Saccharomyces cerevisiae S288C: one gene and its partner. The gene in region 2 interacts genetically with the main gene of each other region. Each region holds a gene or a part of one and is shown on either strand. Other genes may lie near its edges.

Region 1 (8,149 bases), on a different chromosome or scaffold from region 2:
CAATGATGATCCAAAGGAAAGTAAATCTTCTGCGATTGCATATACAGCGCAGTATTGTTGACAGTCCGAGGTCAGAACCAATCCTGGAAATGCAATACGAAATCTCGAATCATAAGAGAATGCAGACGTATCATTTGCACTAAAAAATAGGGGATTGGGAGCGACGTAGGTCAAAAACATTGATCTCCGTTTTAGAAAAACATGCTTATCTAATAAAGACCCGTCAAAGCACATTTCAAGAGGAATCCATGGGGGCCATATATCTGACTCTTTGTCGGAACCATATCCATTTTTATGGAAAAATCTACCTTCAGGACCCTCTAAATCCTTTTTGAACAATGTAAACAACTGAATGTCCTTTGAAACAGCGGAATAGCGAGTTTCAACAATAGTATCGACGTCAACGGGAATTCTTTTTCCTGATTTTCCATACACTTGAACTATATCAATTATTCCCATTTCTATATCCCTAGCAGCTAAAATAACTGCTGCGTTCCTTTCAACGTCCGATTTGATCTGAACCTGAGGGGAGATTAGTCTAAAAAGATAATTATCAACATAATCAAAGTCATCACTCGGAACTTCTCTGATGAGTTTCTCAAAGTGCTCAATAAATTCTGAATTACTGGCTAAATCGTCCTCAAGTATTGAACCATAATCTTCTACAGATGTTCTGACCCCAGTCAACACATTTCCCAGTAATTCTTTTAAAATAGTTACGGATTTATAAGTCACAGCAAACCTCATAGATTTCCTTTCGAAAGCACTGGAAGCGTATTCCAAAAGGTGATGCCTGATTTTATTATCGATTTTTAACTCGATATTATGGACCATGAAACGGTTATCATAGGTGGACTCAACCTGCATAGTAGAGGCTTTTCTCATTGATACAAAAGACTCCACGGTATTGGTCCTCAATAGCGATATTCTATTTTGAATTGGCGGTGCATTTTCCAAATTTACATCAGTATCGGAGAGTGAGCTGGAGCTATCACCATCAGTATTTCCTCCAGGAATAGTCTCCGAGATTTTTAAATCGCTCAAGATGGTGTTGACTGTGTGCAATCTGTGGTTTAATTCAGCTACCTCTGCTTTTAATTCGCGTGCATAGCGCTCCGAATTTCCACTTACCGAACCTCCGCCTTTGTTCGATTGCAATTCGCTTAACGTAATATGTAATAATTTTAGTTGTTCTTCTATTTCTCGTTTTCTTTCAGTTGCTAATTTCTCCTGCGTCAATTCTGGATGATTCTTGCCAATCAGACAATTGTGAGATTCTTCGGTACCAAATGGGTAAGCTAGTACGTAACCATCATCATTTATTTTTCTAAAGTAGGATATTCTAGGAGAGTATAGCAATGGTATTGCTTCTAATTTTAATGGAAGTGAGGAACCAAGCGGCACTTGATTCAAGTCTATATAATCCTCATAATCATACCAATCTGATTCACGCAAGTATTCCACATCTTGAGGCGTAATAGGACGTGATGGCTCGTCTTCAAGTATGCCATCGAGTCCAGAAGTAAGAATTTCCTTAACTGCTTCCTGATCAAACAGAGTTGATAATATCCTAATATCTGCTTCTGCACAATCAATCTCACCCCTAGACATCTTAAACTTCCATACAGGTTTTGACTTATTTAATTTTTGGTTCGTATGGGTCAGTTTAACTCTTTTTTGATGCAAATCAATTTTCAGTGAATCAAACCTCCCTTTCAATCCAGTAAAAGTTATTTTGCGGTCTTTTTCAAGATCATATTGAGTAGTAATATGCCGATAAATATGCGTAACCATTAGCCGTTTTAAATGTAGCTGATAAGCTATTGTAAATAATGAGCGACCAAACTTTGTCTTGTTTTGAAGTACATCCGTAAATAACCGTCCTTGCCTAATAGGACCAGATGTATATGTATGAAATAAATTCCACCACTTAAAGAAATGTGTTAAAGCGTAAGGTGCGAGATAGAGACTATTTATGGATCCGTGCTCAGAAGAATAGACACCAAATGACATGTGGATAAAAGATGTTCTAAATCCTTTGTATGTATCATGGTGATCCAAATCTGCGACTCCATCTGGATTCATCAGCTGTATTTCATAATGTGGCCTATTTGGAAGGAACCTCTCTTCGTCACCAGCCTTAGATATATCGCCTTGTTCAAAAAGTAAACCTAATGTCCAAATTACTCTTCCATCGAGCTTCATAAAGACTTTATCAAATTTACTAACTTTGGCAAAGTCTGGCACTGCCAACTGAAACCTTTGGGATTCAATTTTTAAAAACTCTTTAGGATCCGTGGAGTTATGAACGTAAATTGTGGTGCCACCAGACCAGCAGAACGCCAGACCCGCACCATCATCTGTAATCTTATAAGGATCATGTGAACCTTTAATATTTAAGTGGATCTCACTTTCCTCTGAAAACTCGTATATCCACTTCCCATGCACTAAATATCTGAATTTGTCCCAAAATCCTAGCTTTTTGGACGGATCGATGAGAGGTTTGGTTAAAAAATCAAACCAAAGCATCAAAGACTCATAACCGGGTTGCAGAGATTTCCCCCATGTTATTCTGGCAGATGAAGAAGATGTAACCATTGACCTAATATTGAAATATGTTTTGACTGAATTAATTGTACGAATGATGTGCAAACCATATATTGTATTGGCGTCATTATAGGGGCTTCTTTGGGCAGAGCTGACAAAAGGAACATAAACAGTATGAAGCGCGCAAGGTGCTGGCATCTTTTCAGCAAATACAACATCACCTGTTGTAAATGTGTCGGGAAATGATATAGCAGGTATTGGATAATCTCTCAGACGCAACTCCCATAACGCGCTTTTGATTTTGAGGCCAAGAATAATTAGCAAAGTGTACTCCGTAGATTTTGGAACTTTTTTTCCATACTGGTAAACAAAATCCATATAATTGTCTAAAGGGAAGGAAGGACTGCCTAGTTTAAAATCCAAATCTTTTACGACGAGGTTAGCAACAGTACTGGTTTTCTGTCTAGTAAACAAGTGGTATTTCGTACCAAGCTCTTCACGGCTGATAACCCGATAAGGCATACCATAAAAAGAAAGTTTTGCTTTCCTGTATCTGGCAATCCATGACGTTGAAAAGTTTTCTAACAACCTGAGATAGGCCTTTTGCTCATATTCTTGATCATTCGCATAAAACTCTGGGAAAAAACTTTGTCCACGGGAGGTATCATAGAGCGACCTTAAACGTACATTCATGTCCTCATATGTTGATAGCTTTTCCTTGAACTCTTCAAGCTTCTTTAACCTCTCACGTTGTTCCAAAACACCAACTTTCAAAATTAATCCTAACTCCTGCTCAAAAGGATCTTCTTCAATATCAATTAGAAAATCCTGGCAACAAATATGTAAATTTGGAACTTTTTTCGGAAACTGTTGCTGAGGGTATAATCGCTTAAATTCATTCAAATTGGAAAATGCCAATTTAATTTGCTTAAACGATTTATACAACGTGACTATGTTATCCGTTATCATGTAAAATCTAAAATGATATTCGGCATGAAAATGAATCAATGAGGTGTTTATAACAGCGGATTTCTTGCAGATCAACTCTTCAGTGTCTAGCTCAAAGTCATTAATATTTAGCAAGGAAACATAAACCTTAATATGCTTCACATAAACCGATACCACGTACGCTGACAAAGATGCAATTGTAAGATTTTTAGTGGAACTTGAAAGTCCAATCCTCTCGAATATTAGGAGTACCTCTGTATTATGAGGAAGCGTTAGCTCTATAATCATCTTTCCTATATCTACTCTTAATCTATCGAGAACATTGACAGATTTTACACTGCTCACTGAATTTCGGCTCAATTTTGAATTAGGACGAAATTTTATCCATATACTCCGAATATAAAACCACAACCAGATAATATTTACATCCATCTTAAATTTAATCTTGGGAAGTGAAAAATGAATTTCATCTGAGTCGTTAAAACTCAATAACAAATTGGTAAATTGAATAATAACCTCAGGAGAGGGCTTATACGTAGTGCCATCCATGAAACGATATACGGATGCATCAATAATAGTGAAGTTTTTCTCCTGGCTGTCCGCTAACAATATTGATTCTGTAAAAACAACTTTGGCGCCTCTAGTTACGTCAGATAAGTTAAAATTCTCAGCTTCCACAGGATCCAAATTTTTCGGAAGAAACCCAGCGACCAGTAACGAACATGAAATATCCTTCATTCTAAGTTTCAATGACCAGTTAAATGTTTTCTTGGCTTCATTTAGGTCCCCCAATTTTCCACCATTCGCTTTATGAGCCGCATTCCTTTTTGTTCTGCTAGATATTAGCAAGTAAATTTTGTCAAAGGCGCGACTTAAAGTATGCAAAACTTCAATGTTCTCAAGACTAACGTACGAATGTCTTAGTGTAGACTGAACGATCAATTTAGAATTTGAAAATTCATCCAGAAATGTGTCTAATCTTTCAAAGCCACAGACTGGTATAGACACTGGGTTAGCGTCCTGCTCTGTTGGAATTCTCAGGTAAGAGAGTGATGTACCCACAATTTTAATATAGTTAGATAATTGATCAGATACTAGGGCTGTCTTCGCAAATGGCCAATCCGGACGTATTTGCATTACTTGTCCCTTTTTAGGAGTCATAGACAAGTTGTTACGGCTAAAGAGAGCATGTGTGCTGAAGACCTTAAACGTCACATTCTCCTCATCTGATATATGCAGCCTTGAAATAAAATTCGACATTAGTAGTTCAAAGTTAAAACTGGGCAATCGATCAATATCTAAATCTAAAATATTTAATGATCTGTCGTTTGTGTTAGTACATGATGAGGTCTCAGGGCTATCGAATTTGTCCACTAAATGAAGAACTTCCAGTACTTGATGTATAGTGAGGAATACTGAAGGATTTATAATGTTCAAAATGGAAGATACCTTCGTTCTCCGTAAAGGTACATTGTCAAGTAAAAATAGTAAAATATCTGACGTCAGTATGACATTTCCAAATGGAATTCTAACTGCTGTATTACCATCGATATCTACTACAACAGCATTTGCAGAAAGTGATAGTTCAAAATCGCCCCATGTGGGCTTATTTAAGGGTAAAAGTTCCAAAGCGGAGACATTATTTAGAATGGAGATTGATTCCAAGTAAAGTTGAGCACTTGATATGCGAATTGTAAACTTTTTTTTGTAAATCAACTTTACATTTTCTACCTTAAGGTCCAGAATGTTCAAAGTTTTCAGTGGGTAGTGAAAAGGCTTTAGCATCTTACGATATGAAGTGAGCATTTCCGCATCATCACCAGCAGAAAAAGGCTCAACAGGCTCCGAATGCAAATTCTTCCCTTTCTTCTCTGGAAGATGCCAACAAACATCACTTATTTTGAGACTTGATTTCCAATTTTTTAGTATAACTTTTGTGCAGTTGCTGCCTGTATCATCTTCCTTTCCAATTTTACAGACCATAAAAAAACCAGTATGGTTCAAAGTATCTTTCGTTTCAGGATGGGTAAAATCATGCAAAAATGCCTCTAACTTTATGGTATCATCGTGTGGGTGTGATATCGTTATGGATCCGATATTTAATTTATATTGTTTTCCATTAGGCACTGTAAGAGCTAAAGTATGAAAGAAAGTGGAAAATGAGAACACAAGTTTCAAAATTGATAGGACTCGCCTGTTAATTACAAAGGTAAAAGTTTGATCCCGCGGATTGAAATATGTTCTGGAGTCTTTAGTTGAATGTGCAGTGATATGGCTGTCCTTCCCAAATAACTTCAAATCAACATTATGAAACACAATTCCGGGTTTCCAACCTATTCGCAAGGTTATCTTGCCAATATATATTTGAGCAAAATCAGTTAAGATAAACGCTCGTCTTATTGACGTACCAAAAAAGTATCCAAATGAAATTTTTCGTATTGTGGAATGGCGCAGCATCAATATCCATGACATGAGAATACTAGCGATTTTCTGAATTGATATAATAAAAAGCATAAAGCCTAATAATAGTTTAGACACATCCCTTATTTGAGACCACGGTAACATAGACATTGTAGATTTTTTTTCTTGCAATAAACAGGATACTCCAGCTACTAGATATTATGGATGACAAGCCTACTCGAGAAATTGATCAGCAAAACTAAATTGAATGCTTAGCTTTTAAATGTAAGCCTTTTCGTGGGAAAAAGTGTATGATTTAGTTTTCAAAGAAGTACCTTCTATAATGGTAAATTATTGGTTGTGCTCTTGAATATAATGCATGTGTATGCCCTTGAAGTTTTTAATACAAAGCCACTAGTGCAAACAAATCAACAAATCTATTTACCCTTAATGTTCCTCTTTATCAATCATACAGCCTTGCAGATGGATGGTAAGTGATGGACTATAGAACACCTCAGAGATATTTTACGTAGATGTGCGGGATTAAGGGTTCTGAATTCTCCTGCCCGAGGCGCCCAAATTTTTCATTTTCGGATTGCAAAATGATGCCATTCGCTGACAGCCAGTTTTGTATTCATTGAATAAGAATAATGGCAAATTCAGAGAGACAATTCCAGCGATATATCCCGCTTTCCTTCCTTTTTTCTTCCGCAATCAGTTAACTGAATGAAACAATAATGTACTATAAAGGTGTTTGATGAGATCCTTGTCATTGTCGGCATCCAGGTAAATTCCATTAGTAACTGCATCTTTACTCACGATAGCTTCTAGAGTTGGCTCGTGGAGATAACCAAGGTTAAAGACAGACTGTGTAATTGGTAGCCCTTTACCATGACTAACTACTTGTATTTCAATCGGGGGTGTTTTTCTCTTGTCACAAATGAGTAAAACACGATTTATCGAAGAAGGTCCAACATTCGGTATCACTGAAAGTCTTGCTTTTATAAATGCGTGCAAGTTAGCATTGTATTCCGTTATAAATGTAGAGGAATCAACTTCTAGGCTCTTTGGAGTTGATGTTTGCAATACCGAGATTGGGAACCATGACGTCGCAGCCGCCAAGTTGTCTTGTACAATGGAGGCTGAATTCAATACGTACGAGCTTTTGTATGATTTGGAATAATCTAGTGTAGGTACCAGTTTTAGTTTATCTTTATCAGCATGCTGATCTTTGCCAGTTGATGGTACCACTTTCAATGGAATTAGTAATTCTCTACACGATTTTAATTTTGAGATTTTTTCTGCTCTCATTGGAGAAGCTAAAAGCCTACCATATAAGTTATTTTTTAAATTGAAATTTTCCAAATGGAACTGCCCCACCATTTCCTCTTCATCTTTGAAATAGAGCTTCTTGCGCTTATCCGACCATTTCTCGAAGTTTGTAATGAGCGGAGAAACATCTTTGACTCGTTGGGCACAGTTTTTATTAATGACTCTCGTTGGACAATCTATGAGTAACTTCTTATATGCCGATTTAGGTAAACCCATATTTGATTTTGAGAGGTTCCCAGGAGAATTCACAACAAAATATTATTCGAAGGCTCCTATCGTCATCATGTACCGTGGCGCATTGCCAACCTGTCTTATAGAAAGGCCGATGTCGTAAGCGGACCGGAAAACTGGAGATGAACAGGCATTGCCAATCCTACCGCCACTGTAAAAAACAAGTAAGAAAAAGATAATTATGGACGCTGGCTTTCATTTTAAAATAACATCAAGTTCAGATGATACTTCTGAAAAATACCCAATCAGGAATCTATTTTTATTTGGTAGAAGACTACTTTGTTTACTTATAAAAACATGATAACTATCTAAGAATATATGAACTGATTGCGTTTAACTTAACTTTTCCATTTTGTCTTAATCTTCTTCGTTTCCGGTAGTTAATGGGTTTGTATTTTCAGCAGGAACATGACCCAGGACTTTCTTGTTGCTTATTACACTTATCAAGGAACCAAATGACATGCTCTTCATCTGTGCAGTCTTATTGGACAGGTTTTCATAGTGTCACTTACTTGACGCGGATGTAGCAGGTACAGTATTAGTACTTCCCTCCTTGCGCGAGTGAAGAGACTTATCATTCGATACAGTAGATGTTAGTGGGACGTTTTCCGCACTATATGTCTTTTTCAAACTGCTATAAGGAGCTTCAACACCTTTAGATGTAAGCGGTTCCTTCAACGTTAGACGTGAT
Region 2 (3,513 bases):
TACTCTATTACAGATGGAAAGCTAGTTACGGGTGTTAACGCAAATTCTTCCTATTCGACCACAATTAGAGCTATAAACGCATTATATAGCTGAAACAAAAGACAAGGGAATTGTTGAAGGGGAGGCTTTTAATGACTTTCAGTTTCTGTGAAGAGAAGGCTAACAGCTCAATGGTTCGAAAGGTAAAGAAAACGGCAGGTCGGTAGCACTCGATTTTGCTAGAATGGAAATCATATAGAGAACAATTGAATAGTAGGCCTTGGTTTTTAGTGTTGTATTCATCATGGTCATATGTGACATAGGTAATGTACATATATATATAAAAAAAAAAAAAAGCAATGCTGTGAGATCATTCGTTACTTACGAAATACGCAGATTGCAATTTGAAATAAGCTGTGTTTTCTTTTTTTTCCTTTTTTTTTCTTTTTTTTGGCTTGTTATATACAACTTTTTTCTATTTCTGTTCTTTTTATGAGTAATTAATTGGTACATGGGAAATAAATATGAATTATATTAAATGAAGTAAAAGTAAAAGAAAACGGGGAAATTTATCGTTTTGTAGTAAATAGATGATGGAACGCATTCATAAAATCTCACAAAATATTACAATAAACCGCAGTAGTGGGTAAAAATGTATTATACAACGTCTAAAATCTTGAAAATGAATTAAAAAAAAAAAAAAAAAAAGTGGGATGATTATGCAGGGAAAAGTATAAAGAAAAGATCCTAACAAATCGGGTTGGTCAATCCTCTAGTCCAAGCATAGGATCCGAGAGTTATCACCAATAAGCAATATGAAATTGCAATCGAAACAGTATAATAAATAAGCATGTTAATAAATGATAGCTTATACCCTTCATTGATAAACGTGCTAATGGTACTCAAAGTGCCGCAAAATCCGGATATTAACGCAGAAACAATATGACATGAATTCAACGAGTTCACAATTGGAACGTCCGTAGAAAAGTGTTTTTTACCACGTTGCACCATGGTAAATATGCCAATCAATAAAGTGGCGAAAACGTTTGCCAAGAAAGTACCCAATGGAAACTTTTTGTTTGTTTTATTAAACATTTCTGCCAACCAATATCTTAGGAAACCAGCGAAAATTCCAAATAGACATGGTAGTGTCCACTTGCCCCTCGAATAGTTCTCATAATACGCACACAGCACCACAAACAAAATAATTAATGGAAAAGCTAGTGCATACGCGAGTTTATCCACAATATCAAAAAATTTCTTAAAAAATGGTGCTGGAGTTTTGAATTTAAACTCTAGAATATTTTTTTCCATTTCTTGTGTATCAACATCACCAGCATTTTCCTTTACAGTGTCTGAGGGAGGGGTATATGGCTTCGAAAACGAACTAGATCCATAAGCAACAATAACCTCCTTACCAAGTTGCCTACCGAAAATAAGACTACCCATGGAAACCATAAGATGAACGAGCAAGACAGATAAAAACTCCATTATACCGTAAGCTCTGTTCGGCAGTTTTGTGTGGTTAGCGATATTACCGTTAGTTAAGTTTGTAGAGTGTTCGAACATCTCTAGCAGCATACTAGAAAAGGAAGACAGGGCACCACAGTACCCAGTAGTTACACCTAAAAACAAGACTTGGTGATCTTTCATCCAAGTGTAAGCATTTAAAGATTGCATAATCCCCATTAGCATGCAGGATGAACAATTAGACCAGAGAACGGTCGGAGCAGTAACGAAGGCCGGAGTGTAGGTGGAAAGCGCCGTTATAGCCTGACGTGTTTCAGTACCTAATATGCAGAACGTGGTGAATGTACAAAAAACATGAATATAATGGCTCAACTTGTGATTTGATATGACCGGATTGAAAATCATCAGAGCATTACACGCTCGATTAAATAATTAAATAACTGCAGATTCTTGAGCCACCAGAGGCTAAATAATAATGGCGGCAATAAATATAATCCATTAGTACTTATTTCAGTTGTTTTTTGTTTTATTTTTTCCGTATCTCTTCTGTATCTCTTCCATCATTGCGTCAAAAGTGATTTACACTTCTACATGAATCGCGCCACTTTATGTCAGTGAATCTTTCATACATCGCAACTCCTCACTGACAGTGACTCTAGCATAGTCACCATCTTTCGATATACCCATCAAAGTGCACGATTCTCCTCCCCTGTTATACAATCGTAACGTAATATTGACATGTATTCGTAGCTCCGCTGCCAACTAATTTTCAGATCGTTCATTGTACATAAACCAAGCGCTGTTGCTTTACTTTATGATATTGCTGCTGAGCTCCCTTGTCTTTCATACGACGTTTTATCTTGATTTCATATCTTTTTTTTTTGGTAAAATAGAAAATACTCAACAGATATCTGATATGTATATAAACACTAAATAAAGAAAATCTTAAATCTTGCTGGCATGACTGTCGCTGTGTCTCAAATCTCTTAGTAATTCATAGATGTGTATCACCCCAAATCTCAAAAACTTCATAATCATTATTAGATTATCTAGAAATCATACCCTTTATACTGTCCCACAATGGCCTTCTCACAGGAGGCGCTAATGATTACGATTAACCATCAAATCATTTATATTGATACACTGTAGTTTACTGTTAATAACCAACCTTTGTCGAGATTCATCAAAGTGGGTTCCAAATCCCTCATTGTGGGAACCTGGTTCAGTCATACCCATTGGAGATGGGCCCCAGGAAGGAGTGTAACAAACTTCATCCCAATTGCATTGTCTCTCACAACGGTAATTTAGTTCAATCCACCCTAGAGATTCAATTAAACCATCGATAGTGGAGCGAGCCGTTTCGACATTCTTTATTAAGTCGCTGGAAGTTGTGTTATCTGTCATAAAAGAGTAGACTTCGGGTATCAATAAATCATTCACTTTATAAATGGCATCAACAATTTCTCCGACCACGCTGACAGCAGATGACCAAATCAAAAAGTCTGCATCCGTTTTTAAGGCCTGGTATGGGCTCACATATTGGTAGACAGCAAAGTCTTTCCCGCTACCGAATTCATCACTGTTGTTGCTTGCAGGCTCAAACCTTAAACAAAAGTTCAATGTGAGTGCTGTTGCATTGATGGCAATTGACTCATTAATATCACCATTGCTGTTCAGTATGTTACTAACAGATTTTAGTAATGGAGCAAATTTAAGGACAAGCTCATCAAATGCTAACTGCCAATCCATACTTTGCGTGGCATCAAATCCGACTTCCAGAGCCTTTTCTAAGTCATCTACCATGTCCAATTGCTTTTCCCATGTCATTCCTTCATCGAGTAATCTTCTGTTGTTAGGATCAGGAGCAATGTAAGTCCTGTTTATCCCGCTCACTAGGTACCTATAGTCGATATGGATTCGATGCTCCCCGTTGTCATGCGCTGTACCCGCTCTCAACTGATTGAAGCTCTTAACTGCGTTGAAATTAGAAAAAGTCTTCTCCCAACCATCTTCTCTTTCCAGAATCGCCTTTTGGTCATCTGTTAGCTGATCTTCAACTAGGTT

Evidence for each region.
Region 1: mutations in FEX1 (region 2) and HOB2 together harm fitness more than expected from each alone (negative genetic interaction), as found in Saccharomyces cerevisiae (2 studies listed by BioGRID).

What each region holds. Positions count from the first base shown.
Region 1 is NC_001148.4:757,942-766,090, reverse strand, and holds the start of HOB2 (Hob2p), read right to left. Parts: upstream 6,067-8,149; coding exon 1-6,066. Other genes in the region: RRG8 (Rrg8p), read right to left, coding at 6,610-7,443; RGC1 (Rgc1p), read right to left, coding at 7,963-8,149. UniProt on the Saccharomyces cerevisiae protein: Tube-forming lipid transport protein which may bind to phosphatidylinositols and may affect phosphatidylinositol-4,5-bisphosphate (PtdIns-4,5-P2) distribution.
Region 2 is NC_001147.6:1,075,125-1,078,637, reverse strand, and holds FEX1 (fluoride transporter), read right to left. Parts: upstream 1,855-3,513; coding exon 727-1,854; downstream 1-726. Other genes in the region: HSP33 (glutathione-independent methylglyoxalase family protein), read left to right, coding at 1-93; YOR389W (uncharacterized protein), read right to left, coding at 2,551-3,513. UniProt on the Saccharomyces cerevisiae protein: Fluoride channel required for the rapid expulsion of cytoplasmic fluoride.